2 linked regions of the Lepisosteus oculatus genome follow. Each later gene encodes a partner of the first gene's protein in a complex. Links are inferred from orthologs where the notes say so. Each region holds a gene or a part of one and is shown on either strand. Other genes may lie near its edges.

Region 1 (7,068 bases):
ACAATTCCTCCCTCCATGTGTGGACCACACATTGGACATGATAGGAAGAGCTAAACTCTTCACCAAGCTCGTGGCAAATTCAGGTTTCTTGCAGGTCCACCTCACAGAGGAGTCTCCAAAGCTGACAACATTCATCACACTTTATGGGCACCAGACCTTCAAAAGACCTCCTGTAGGAATTTCATTTGCTCCTGACCTTTTCCAGGTGCAAATGAATCATTCAGCCAGACCCAGATAAATTGGCTGGAATCCAGAACATACAACAGCCTACCAATGCTTCTGAAGTGTGCAGCTTTCATGGCATTGGAAGCCACGGTAAGCTTGGAAAGTTAATTAGTGATATAGCAGAGAAAACTAAACCTTAGTATAACCTTCTTTCACAAAGAAACCTTTGGACTTGGGATATACTGTACCTCAGGAGCACTTATTATTATTAAAATTTAAACTAATCTCACCCCCAACATTAGAATTTTGTTCCCTTCCAAGGAGACTAAAGTTGCAGCAAATGCGTCATCCATTGGTTTAGGTGGTATCCTCATGCAAAACAACAATGGGACTTGGAAAACAGCAGCACACCTTGTACTGTATGTGTCAAGAACATTGACTCCAACACAGCAGTGATATGCTCTTTGAGAAATACAGAAAGAGACTTTACCACTTGTGGGGCCATGCAGAAGATTCAGTGTTACCTCGCCTGACTTCTTTTCTTTCTTCAGACAGTCCACAAGCCACCTGGGAACTAACTAAGCACTAAACATTCGATTGATCTACCACTACAACTACAAAGATTCAGAATGCGGCTCATGGTATTCTCATACACCATTGACCATTGACTGGGAAATCATTCACAGACAAATATGCTGTTAAGGATGCCATGTTCCAACAATTTCACTGATATAGACCCTGCTCCTGCAGAACACACCAACATCTATCTTGCCCAAATAGCTTAAAGCTTCCCTGCAGCGCAGAACACATTGGACGAAAACCGCAGTGAGCTTCTTAAAGACCCTACCTATGAGGAACTGTGAGTTAAGACGGCCAAATGCTACAAAAAACATGGGGTCCCTCTGCCATTAGCTAAAAAAGTACAATTTGAGACATGGTACAAGATCCCTGTCACAGCTGAAAGATAGAGATGATGTTAAGATTCTGACAAAGGCATCAGAGGAACAGTAATCTGACAGCATGCTCCAAATTTGATTGTGTTAAAGATATCACAAGGTCAACTGTGGCACCAGACCTACCCACAATGACAATTTATCTGAGACTGAAACACTGCTGACAGAAACAACAACAACACAGTTTCAGTCCATAATTCCAAGACCTCCAAAAACATATACAAGATCAGGATACCAATGTAGTGATCTAACTGGCAGAACAATCCACTCACTTTCCAGGAGTGCTCAGGTTTTCCCAGTCTATGTGAGGAAAACAAAACACTCCCATAATAACTTCTTCTTTTTTTACACGTTTCGGATCTCATTATTTAGTACATTACAATTGATATCTGCATTTGGCTGACAGTATTCCTAACACTGCACCTTTTGAATGGTATTTATAAAATATTTTTATTAAAAATAATCAGCCCCTTCCAATGATGTCATATACATTTTCTAATTAAAACATGCATGTTGAAACTGAATTTGTATAGGTGTAAATTAAATCTCAGCAAAATCTGCAATGAACAATGAAAAACGAAAATGTACTTGTCACAAATCGCACCACCACATACCCACACGCACTCTGCACTGCACATACTCATGTACTAATTGATACCACACTCCTTCCTATTTAAACCCTGTCTCCTAAATCCGTCCTCACTCACCACTGAGACTTTTCTCAGCTAGAGCTACTCTACCCTTCAATCCTGATTTCTAGTTCTCTCTCGACCTTAGCTTTGTGTCCTAGACATCGCTCTTGACAAACGATCTGGATACCTTTGCTTTGTTTCGGATTTTCATTCAACCGCCTCTCTGGCCACGCATAGGGTCCAACTAACTAACCTAAGTTTGGGCATTACTGACAGTACTGACTGTAAAGGTATTCACTTACTTTTCTGTGGCAAACTGAAATTAGGTTGGTGCACAATTACTTTGACAAGTCTTACAGTTAGTTAAATGGCCTCTGGCTGTGTGCAATTATAGAGGGTCAGATGATCTCAGAACAATACACCTGTCTAATGTTCCGTTGTTATTCTTAATTAATATTGATACAAAATGTAAGAATTTGATTATATGAAATGTTAATAAAGGTATTGCTTGCAGGATAAATATACATATAAAGTATTTCTGGAATCACAAGGTTACAAATCGTGCTAGACAATTAACTCATTAAGCATTCAAAAGCAGTACCTTAGCTTCAACACGCGATTTCATTCACTGATTTCAGAGGAATTCTCCTAGGACTACAAAGACAGCTAAAACGTTTGAAAATTATGAAGACAGAGAAAAAATAAGCATATTAAATTGCTTATTATCCATGGACATGCATGCAAACACTCAGATCACAGAGAGAGACTTGGGGGGAAATGGCACAGTATCCCTTTTTTGTCATCTTCCATTTGCAGAGTTCATAGATAGTCTTGCTTTACTATGTGTTATAGATAAGTGTAACGCAACGGGGGTTCAGGTGGGCGCCCTTACCGCAGTGGGTCGGTCCCGCACCGTCGTGGGCTCAAACCCGGGACTCCCGCGTCACTCAGCCCGGTGAGCCAAAGATCTCGCCACAGCGCAGGGGCCGTATGCGTTACATACTGTAAGGCTTGATTAAGTACTGTACACAGTTGCTACCTTACCTAGAATAAAATAATATAGAAGTAGTAGGGCAGTAGGTAACCACCTTCTTCTGATTTTAAACAGATCATAGACAAAACCAATACTGAACCCTGATCCATCTATCCATCCAAATTGACGTCTTTATTTAAAATTAATTTCGCTGAAAACAGTACTGAACTCCGAAGAAAACTGGAAATTGTAGAGTGGTACAGAAATTGTTTAGTAAAAAAGTAAGCAAACCAATGCACAATCTAGCGATTATAGAAAATGGGATTAAGTGCTGTATTACAATACATACTGTACTACTGAAAAAGACTACAAAAGTAAAAATATATAAATAAGAAGCGTCAGATATCCGTTTTTCCATAGCGTACTCCTGAAGCAGAACGAATGTAATTTATTCTTTGCATTTGGCCATTTTTGTATATACTGTATGTGTTGTCTACAAAATAAGGAAGAACATTTCCCATGCCATTACATTACACAAAAATATCATATATCTCTTAAGTGAAAAGATCCTCTGCTTTCTCCCGTTTTATTGTTAAAACAGGTTTTTCTCCAGAGGCTCTACGTGCTCTCCCTACAGTGTACAGCATAACTATCAGAGACCACACTGCAATTTAGACTATTAGTTTGCTGCAGATTGGGGAATTTTAACTACAAGACCTGTTTCTGCGCTATTAGTAAGAGAAAAATATTGAAAATATTTTATGGAGAAAGGTGCAAAAAGGAAATCTTCAGGTTAAAGTAATTAATTTTTCTAGACCTCCAATAGTACAATTTTCTTTAAAATGCCATGCTACGCACATTGTGTCGAATTGATCATGTTAAGAAGAGGAAAATTACACAGCATTGGTTAGTAACATATCCAACACGAAGTAGGAGCACTTCAGTAGGATCAGAAAACCAATGCGATCTATCCACCTAAAGCGATTCAGTCATCACTTGAGTAACTGGTGAGTTCGTACTTTTGTCGTTTTTGTTTCTCAATTCGTGTTTATTAAGTAAACATTACTGATAACATTTAAACCAACGGGATAGTCTACAACAGATCGATAACGACACTGCGTGATACATTTTAGAATAACACATTTGAGTGATACCGCTCACCTATTGTATAAAGGACGTACTGCAGTAGGAATAACCTTGTCACCCAATTGATTCTGATGCACACGTCTGTCCAAACACTGACGTTACAGGGTTCAGATAGATGAACATTACTGTGGCGATAACCGGTAGCCGCTTTATCACTCTTTAAAAGAACTTAACCGACTGCAACAAAATATATTATCGATGTGCGTTAGAATAGGACAATACGTTTTCGTGCGCGTCTTTTCTGCTTTTCAAACTCTCCTGGCTGTTCAAATACCAAAAAGGTGCAGAAGACGACTGAGACCTGTTAAACATTTTAGGCTTTCGGTGAGTTGACATAGCTTTTCTTAATCTTAGCATTGTGTGCGACAAATTGAGCAGAATTAATAACGTAAATAAGATAAGCAATGCAATTTAAACTTTCCACAAAGTGGAGCTGTCCTCCATGAAGACCTTATAAAGGTTTGGTGCGGACAACGTACAGTATACTGTAGATGAAGTACACATAGTAGTAAAAAATCTGTGGTCTGTATACGGGACGTACTGTATAACAACTATTTTAAAAATAATGGTAGTGCATATTCAAATTTCGACTCGCGTTTAATTAATTTAATATAAGCACTGTATGTTTAATCTACTGTGTGTTGGTTTAATTTGCGGGGGTGTATCTTATGATGATTGAGATCAGTTTAATATTTTCTATGTTCGGTTTATTTCATTATAGGTATTCCAGTTATACAATATACAATAACTTCTTGTTATTCTGCACACAAAAAAAGAAAATCGATCTGGCCTGTGGCTCAAAGGGTTAAACACCTACCGAATTCCGCATCGCTAACAGCAGCAGTTGATGTAAAGATTGCCCTGTTTTTCCAAAATTAGGAATATACATGTAGCTCACCTTAGCAGACATTTCTATAAAGGCTATTTTGTGTCTTTGAATCTCTGTATGGACCTTTCTTAATTTGTTCATCATCACTTGGAAATATTTATCTCATTTACTATACCTCATTTTAGAATGAAAGAAATGGCAAACTTGAAACCCTAAAGATGAAAATCATGCCATAGTAGAATATGACAGGTTTCGTGACAGGATTCATGACAGATTAATGAATCTGGCATACTGTATGTTTTCCGGTGATTGTTATTATTTCAATATTGTTATTTTGTTGTCATACTTTATTTCTTTTTCTATTTAAAAGACAATTATATCTTTATGAAAAATGAATGAGTTTGACAGCCCATGCTGGAACAACTCGAACAAAAGCTTGGACAGTGCTTGGCAGACTGGAGTGGGTGGCTATGACTTTCATCATGCTGCAGAGACCATAGTTCTGCCTTCCTTCATTGGAGTGATATGTTGTGCTGGACTAGTTGGAAACATTTTCATCTTGGTCACAATCACAAGGTATGGAAAGCAATACTCAGAAACCTGGCATTCTACATCAGTATGTAGAATTGATGCAATTGATGCATTTCTCAATTATCAGACATAGAAATACAATTCAGAAACTATACATATACTGTATTACTCTCTATGAAAAGACTATCAATTCTTCTCATATACATCAAGAGAGCTTCTGTTCCAGAAATGACCCAGTTACTGTCCGATGAAATGCCAGTGCAACATCCTTCAGTTTACTGTTATATGCATAGTTGCAGTTGTACAGTATATGTTAGTGCTTGATGTTGTGGGGAGAAATCTGATTTTTTTAGAGGCTGCTGATGACTGTCCGCATTTACTGTAATAGTTTCTAATCGTTATTTATCTGTGGTTCATTCAGGTCAACAAAAAAGACAATCCCAGATGTGTACATCTGTAACCTGGCAGTGGCCGATCTTGTTCATGTGGTAGTGATGCCCTTCTTGATTCACCAGTGGGCACGTGGAGGACAGTGGGTGTTTGGCAGTGCTCTGTGCACAATTATTACATCACTAGACACCTGCAACCAGATGACATGCAGTGCAATCATGACAGCTATGAGCTTGGACAGGTAAGAAATTAATTTGACATATTAATCGATTCAGGACTCTGAAACACTTGAAAGCATTCTGCCTTTAACTTTCCTAAATATAGGTTTCCATGAATTTGACTTTACTATCTTGAATCTGTTCAGTGGAGCACTATCTAATAATTACCTTATAAAACGAGGACCTGGCTTGCTGTTGCTGACAGCCACGTCTCACAGATGGGCAGGGAATCCAATTGCAGGTACTTGGTGATTTGCAGCAGCTGCCGGAGTTAGCTGAGGAGATACTGGGAATGGCTGACTGGGAGAAGATGAACAGGAACTGGAACTACACAAAAATAGGCAGGGAAAGATGTCACAGTAAAGGTGCTGGCTGAACAGGCTGCAAGCAGGGTTTGGGTCTCAGGTCTCAAGGTCCGGGTTTCTTGGTTCGTTGGTTAGCACATCTACTGGAGCAGAGTAGGGCGTTGCACTGGCTCAGCTAATTCAATGACAGAGCACCTTTCCAGTGGCGTTTCAAGGGTTTTATAGAAAGGGCTGTGTTTGATTCATTGGAAAATTGTGTTTCTGATTGATCGGGGAGGGACAAATAGACAGATGGTCGGTATGTATTCGAATAGGAGCCCCTGGAGGAATGTGATCACTCATGGGAATACTGTGGTCTGCAGCGTGACATACTGTATATAACTTATAATGCTGCAAAAAGTCTTATATTGCAAGATTAGAAGATGTTCTTGAGAAGGAAAAAGCTATGGAGGTTTGTTTTAAAACTAATGTTTTAATTTATAATTGTTGTCTAACACTCAAAATAGCATGGCAGGTAAATAAACATCAGGAAATTTTCCGTCTTTATTTTAAGTTATTTCAAATGAAATTGTTCATCTTTATTTTAAGTGTCTAGTTGTGGTCAAATACTAGATCTTACTTTACTGTCACTGGTTAAATTTAGAAACAAGGCATTTAAAATCCAGCTTTATCTGAAAAAGATACTCCTGTTTTCATATTGTTACAAAATTAGGCACGTTCCAACTCCGATTGTAATTAATTAAATAGGTACAGTGCAGGGTGTTTGCTTAAATATAAATGTTAAAAAATACTACATAGCATGACTCCTGTGGTATGGAGTTAAAACTAAGTGGATCATTTGATTTGTTTTCCTGGCATTGTGGCAAGGAAAAGAAATAAGGCACAGACTTCCACAGACAGATAAATATTACTTTACAATACAAACA
Region 2 (6,179 bases), on another chromosome or scaffold:
ACCAACATGCACACCTCTAGTATAGCAGAAAACGAATTAAAACCATGTGATAATGTAACTGTAGGCTTTGTGCGCTGGTGGTTAAACGCTCTGCCTGGACAGTTGGGAACTGGATAGAGACGGATATTCCCTGTGCAGTTTATTGCTGAACAGCCATATTTACACCTCCTGCGTTCTTCCCTTCTCTGTTCCTGATATCCTCTCTTTCCCAGGCACGTTTTCCCCACAACGAATCAGAACAGGACCTAAGCTTACAATAATGATCACATATACCCTTCACCGATAATCTAATCAACTCACACCACCATCTAATCTATTTACAACGATTAGAGGCTGTTTTGCGCCTCTAGTGGCAGGACAGCTGTAACAACAGCCTCCTCTTAGGCCAGCTGGCCTCCCACAGCCGTCACGAAATGTTATTCGAGTTAAATATTGTGAACCAGATACTAAGGTTGACAAAAAAAAAAAGCAAAAAAATGTTTTTGGGTCATAAGAGAGTTCAAATTAGATGACCGATGTAAGAAAAGTATTTTTCTTTTTACAGAATGCAGTGCAATATATGTTTACTGCCCCAACTGTACGCTTTTCAAGATGTCATTATACACTTATAATACACTATATAATTTTGTGTTGGACTCAGGGCAAAGATCACAGCCATATCATATACTGAGGGCAAAGGTCATAGCCATTTGGTGGAGTTAGATATGCGGATGTATTTTAATGACTTCTCCTGCACTATTGATTTTTCTTCTGGGTCTGATGCCCTTAAGAAAGGATCCCTTTTGTTTCATGAAAAACGTCTAACAATGTCATCACACTGTTCTTCAGGCAGCTCACCAGTTTCGTAGACTACAAAATACTCAAATAGGAACAAGAACTTCAAGACAAATACTACACTTTTCATTCATTCTGTATCTCCTGTATCAGGGGCCTCCAGGACAAATGAATGTAAGCAGTTCCTGTGACATTAAACAAACATTAGTTAAAGGCCTGGAGATTCACATTCCCATGTATTTCTGACGGTACGAAAAGCAGAAATGAAAGAAAAAAAAAGACATCTAAAGAAGGCTGCAGTCTTGTCCATTTGGAGAGGAGAGGAAACTGACACAGGAGAGAGAGGTTAGAACAACAAATTGAGAAGTAGAGAGGTTCACATCCAGTTACTGGAACACACTACTCCCAAAAGGCCAGTTCAGTCCTTCAATAGAGCCCATCGCCCTCCAACACAAATATGGACAAAATAAAGGCACTGGTATCCAAGTAAAATTACTTCAGCTGAGTTAAATGATTATTATTCATGTAATATTTCTCTTTCTCGATGCTATAGCTTCTGTGATGGTAATAAGGTAAGTCTCTGTTGTTTTCTTTAGAACAAGAGAGTCTGGGGGAGCTGGAAAGCTGTGTCAATACTTTTTTATTTTCTCAGATAAAAAAAAAAAGCATTTCAACTCATTCATCTCCATAATTGATATCCATAGTTAGAATAAGTGCAGTGCCCGCAGGAGAGGTGAATATCAGACAGTACAGTACAGCTACCACTCTGGTCCTGACAGCCTTACAGATTTCTCTCAGCCACCTTCCTCAACGAGGCACACATCAGTGAGTCTCGCCCGATATGGAAGCTACTTTGAAAGCCTGTATAGTTTTCTATCTCATGTCTGAGGATCACAAATTCTGTCACCGAAGATTCTTTGCATCAGATGATCCAATTGAATTATGGGCGTATTGGATCGCTCAGCCAGCAGCCATTTCACCCTGCAGCTCGCCCACTGGAGCTCAGCAGGGCTGAGCCTGGACAGCACACTCACCCTGTGGTCTATGGGAGTTTTAATGCCCAGGGTGTACCCGGCCTTGTGCTCGTTGCTTGCCGGGTAGGCTCCGGCTTCCCGCGAAACCGTACGGTATAAAGCAGTTCGGTAAATGACATGACATGGATCGTTCAGTGAGCATTTGGCAATTACTGCACGATTGTTGTAATGCCCAGTGTAGTGCTCTGTGCTGTGTATTCAGCACTGAGCTCATGTTGGCAGGAAGCCCAGGTGCCTTCATCCCAGTCCTGAGCTCTTACAAGTGTGTCTGCTACAGCTGGGGATGCTGGGAAGACTAGACACCAGTGGCACCCCAGCGGGAGATACCCATCATGCCAGGGTGGCGATGTGTGACTGCTGTGGTCTCCATCAGGCTGTCCGTCACAGGCTGACCCAGTCTGTGAATCACAACTGCAGCCAGGATACTGTCCACCCATCTACGTCAATGCCTCAGCATCCCAACGTCACAACATTTTGACTCAGCCCAGCCCAGCCTGCTCATTAGAGCACTGGCTTTTTGTCCTCAGAGGCCAGTGCATACACACAGCTGCAGTAATAAGCAATCATCCTACTCGCATCTATATTTGCGGGTCTTAAAACTATTCTGCCAAGTGTGGGGTGTCACAGATATGCAAGTGTCCAAGTTGAGTTTATACGTTTAGCAAACTGATTATTTGGAAATGAAATGTATGGATAAGCTGTGAACACATGGCTCTTTTGTTGTGTTTATGAGTCCTGCTGAAAGGATGTGTTTGCTCTCGAAATGTAAATGGAGTTCGTCAGGAGTGTGCGGGAGGAATGGAGGCAACCAAACCCCCCTTCCTCTCCGCTGCGCTAACTTGTAATCCCGCATGACGTCACTTCCTGACATGCTATAGAAATGACAGCAGCCCCCTCCGCTGGTGCTGCTCTCCCCCACAGCTCATTTCACTCTGCAGGGGCTCCTACCCTCCTCGTCCTATGGGGGCCGAGTCTCGCCCAAGCGCGTCGAGCCAAAACTCTCCACGCCTAACCTGTCCAATAAACACGCAGGACGCGGTTTCCAATTGGGCGCCGTTATTCTTCGGATATCGGAATCTACGTTTGGGGGTCGGGGGGGGGGGGACTGTAAAACATAATTTGTTCACACAAAGGGAAACTGAACTGCGACGCATGAGCACCTGCAAAGCTGAAGCTGGCAGCGTGAGAGGGCTGGGGTGTAATTGGAAATACAGGGCAGTCCAGGTTCTGGAAGACTGGTCTACGCCAACGCCAGCCCAGCTCATTATTGCAAGAATGGCTTAAGGGACTTAAACCTGCAGACCTAAACCTGGCTCTCTAAGACTGGGATTGCTTGTCCCTGGCCTAGATCTCTGTGATGATCACTTCAGTTCTTCCATGTGCTGCTTGGATAGCAAATATATCCAGCCAGCCCCCAGTCCTACCTTCCAGTCCTGGAGGGTCAGTGTGTCTGTAGCAGGGCTGTCCAGTCCCGGTCCTGGAGGGTCAGTGTGTCTGTAGCAGGGCTGTCCAGTCCCGGTCCTGGAGGGGTCAGTGTGTCTGTAGCAGGGCTGTCCAGTCCCGGTCCTGGAGGGTCAGTGTCTGTAGCAGGGCCGTCCAGTCCCGGTCCTAGAGGGTCAGTGTGTCTGTAGCAGGGCTGTCCAGTCCCGGTCCTGGAGGGTCAGTGTGTCTGTAGCAGGGCTGTCCAGTCCCGGTCCTGGAGGGTCAGCGTGTCTGTAGGTTTTCATTTCAACTCTAAAGAAACCAAAAAAGCCAAACTAGTTGGCTACTGGCTTCTGGACCCATAGAGCAGCTTCTTCCAGCCCTTCAGGTGCCACTGTTTTAAACAGACCAGACCAGTGTGGGCACCCCTGCTCTATGTGAACTCATGGAAGACAGCCATCATCACTAACAGTTAATGAGATGTGTCCTGCTATCACAAAGAACACAACCCCAGCCTTTGGCCTTCATGTTTGAAAAACAGAGAACGGAGATCGCATGACTACAGCCAGTCTTGTGATTGCAGAAAACATCCTCATGGCAAACACAAACCTAAAGTTTGTGATGAAGACTCCAAATGTTTCCTTCATCGGCAAACCAATGCATTGCCAACAGGGCAATTTTTTTCCAACTTCTTTTCTTTCTGAAAATGAAATGCCACATCAAAGCAAGGTGGCAGAACCATCAGGAGGCACACTGCACACTTCAGTGTCGGTGAGGGAAGCGGGTTTAAGAGATACAGCACACTTACTGCGACTTTCTTCTTGCAGAAGAAAAGAAGTCTATAGTCCAACCTTTCTTTCATTCCTCACCAGCTGATTAATTCAATCAGAAAAAACACTTCAAAGATAATCTTTAAAATTAGATTGCCCAGTGTACTGACTACTACAATACCACCCCACTGTGTAATTCTCATTGATTCGCAGACAACTTCAACCACCTTTCTGTGAAGCTTAACTTATTTTTACCAGGATGAAAACAAACCTCATTCAGGGGTCTCGCACCTTTAATCATATCTGACTCACAAAAAGGCTGTTCAAAGTTAGACGTCACCTTATTTCCACTTCTCTTCTCCTGCCACCATATATAAAGGGATGGACAAACCTGTGGGATGCAGTCAGTCAGGGAAAGCAATTGATTAGTTGGGTTTCTATGCGAACCTGTTGAACCTGAATCAAGTCAGAATGAGTTTCTCGGCATACTCCATTTTACTGGCGGTGGTGCTACTTTTTGAATGCCACACAGACTCAATAGCAGTATCTGCTGCCAAGATCGAGGACTCCAGAATGCTGAACGATGCCTTCAGCCACGAGCCGTTCCTGAATGAAGAGGTGGTTGATAAGGGCATCAGCACCGTGCCATCAAACCGCTACCTGGCCCCAGAAGGCACCGTGGGAAACGAAGGGGGAAACTCAAAGATCTTCATTTTCACAGTAAGTCTCTCCTTGCTCTGCCGAACAGCAGGCAGATTTATTTTAGCATTTCGTCCTATGATAGGAACAGATGTTTCACTTTGTCAAATGCTCAAAATGTCTACCACTCTACTAAGAATATCACAAACATGAGGCATGGTAACTGTGTATCAAAACCAGTCACCTGCAGCCGCTGTAGAAAAGAGAAAATTTTATTTTCTTATATTTTATATATATATACTGTATGTATGTATGCTTTCTGCCAGAACAGTTTCCCAGCTCACACCGTCTTACAGGCTGTAGCCTTCATTTCTAAGTCTTTTTGACCTTGACCGCGAACAGGACTTCGGCATGAAAAAGAACTACAGAGGTCTCTACAGACCTGCCCTGTCCATGGATCTGCCGGCCAGACAGCTGCCCTACTACACCGTCAGAGAGCTGGATGCAGAGCAGCCAGAGAAAGTCCAGGCCTTTGTGAAAGAGGAACGCAGGGACACCGAATCAGACCTGAGCTCCAGCATTCCAGTGGGCAGAAGAGACTTTGACAGTAAGCTTGTGCCAATACTTCTCCTGCTCACAGAACTTTAACATGTACATTGTTGTGATTTATTAGACCTATGAAAATGTTGTTATCTCCATTTTAAATGTAAAGACTATTTTATTTTTTAGCACAAAGAGAAAAAAATAGATGCTGGCGATTGCCCTTGCACATGGGTATTGATGATCAAGTCCCGTCTCTCTGGTTTTCTTCTAGTGCTCAGATGCATGCTGGGAAGAGTATACCGGCCATGCTGGCAGGTGTGAGAGCCGAGGGCCAAGAGCACCCCAGCACTGCCCATGCTCCACCCGTGTCCCACCACGCTGCATTGCTCGTTACGCTCAAACTGTTTTATTATTGCAATACACTGGAAAATGTATAAAATGTTTATTAAAATGATCTGAGAACCTGAATAAAAAAATGTTGCAAGCCTGAGAATCTGAACGTGTGACATGTATACCTTCCAGTTCATTCAGAACAAGGGTTACAGGTGAGAGGGGACCACTCGACTCCTCCAAGTCATTTGGTCATGATAACCAAAACAAAAAGGACAAACGCACAAACTGGAGCACGAAGCTGAGTTTTATATGTATGTTTTCCTTCACTTTTTATTTACATTTCTCCTTCTACCATAAAGGCAGTATACATAAAAAAACAATGAGAAGGTTAAAAAAAGAGAGCAGATGGATATGACATCTCTAAGGAAAGATTTTGCTTGCCAATGCTAGCCCAAAATACAAATCCAAGTCATGATGTGGACTCATTTCTGGGTTAATTCCACCCGAGACAGAAATGTGAACTGAAAAAGAAGTCAGCGCATTTAAACCCTCCTGAATCCTAATGAGAAGTTCGGTAACCAACCTGGGAGAATATGAATCAGGGTGCACAACATTATCCCTTTGAAAACAGATTAGCAATCGCGATGTCTGGGGTTGGTCCCGT

What was found.
Region 2: the proteins of mchr2a (region 1) and pmch are in contact, whole or in part, in a cryo-EM structure (PDB 8WST), measured with the Homo sapiens proteins. The link is inferred for Lepisosteus oculatus from reciprocal best matches to the Homo sapiens genes MCHR2 and PMCH. Residues at the interface, in NP_001035269.1 of Homo sapiens: His82, Gln92, Trp93, Gly96, Gly97, Thr110, Asp113, Gln117, Ile175, Phe177, Val181, Ser183, Cys184, Ala185, Phe186, Leu188, Thr189, Ser190, Pro191, Val194, Tyr197, Thr198, Tyr267, Gln271, Asn274, Met277, Glu278, Gln279, Pro280, Phe284; in NP_002665.2 of Homo sapiens: Leu151, Arg152, Cys153, Met154, Leu155, Gly156, Arg157, Val158, Tyr159, Arg160, Pro161, Cys162, Trp163.

Annotation. Positions count from the first base shown.
Region 1 is NC_090697.1:31,637,189-31,644,256, forward strand, and holds the start of mchr2a (melanin-concentrating hormone receptor 2), read left to right. Parts: upstream 1-4,040; 5' UTR 4,041-4,193; intron 4,194-5,068; 5' UTR 5,069-5,089; coding exon 5,090-5,274; intron 5,275-5,650; coding exon 5,651-5,860; intron 5,861-7,068. UniProt on the Homo sapiens protein: Receptor for melanin-concentrating hormone, coupled to G proteins that activate phosphoinositide hydrolysis.
Region 2 is NC_090702.1:54,817,939-54,824,117, forward strand, and holds pmch (pro-MCH), read left to right. Parts: upstream 1-4,406; 5' UTR 4,407-4,471; coding exon 4,472-4,720; intron 4,721-5,041; coding exon 5,042-5,246; intron 5,247-5,453; coding exon 5,454-5,503; 3' UTR 5,504-5,675; downstream 5,676-6,179. UniProt on the Homo sapiens protein: MCH may act as a neurotransmitter or neuromodulator in a broad array of neuronal functions directed toward the regulation of goal-directed behavior, such as food intake, and general arousal. May also have a role in spermatocyte differentiation.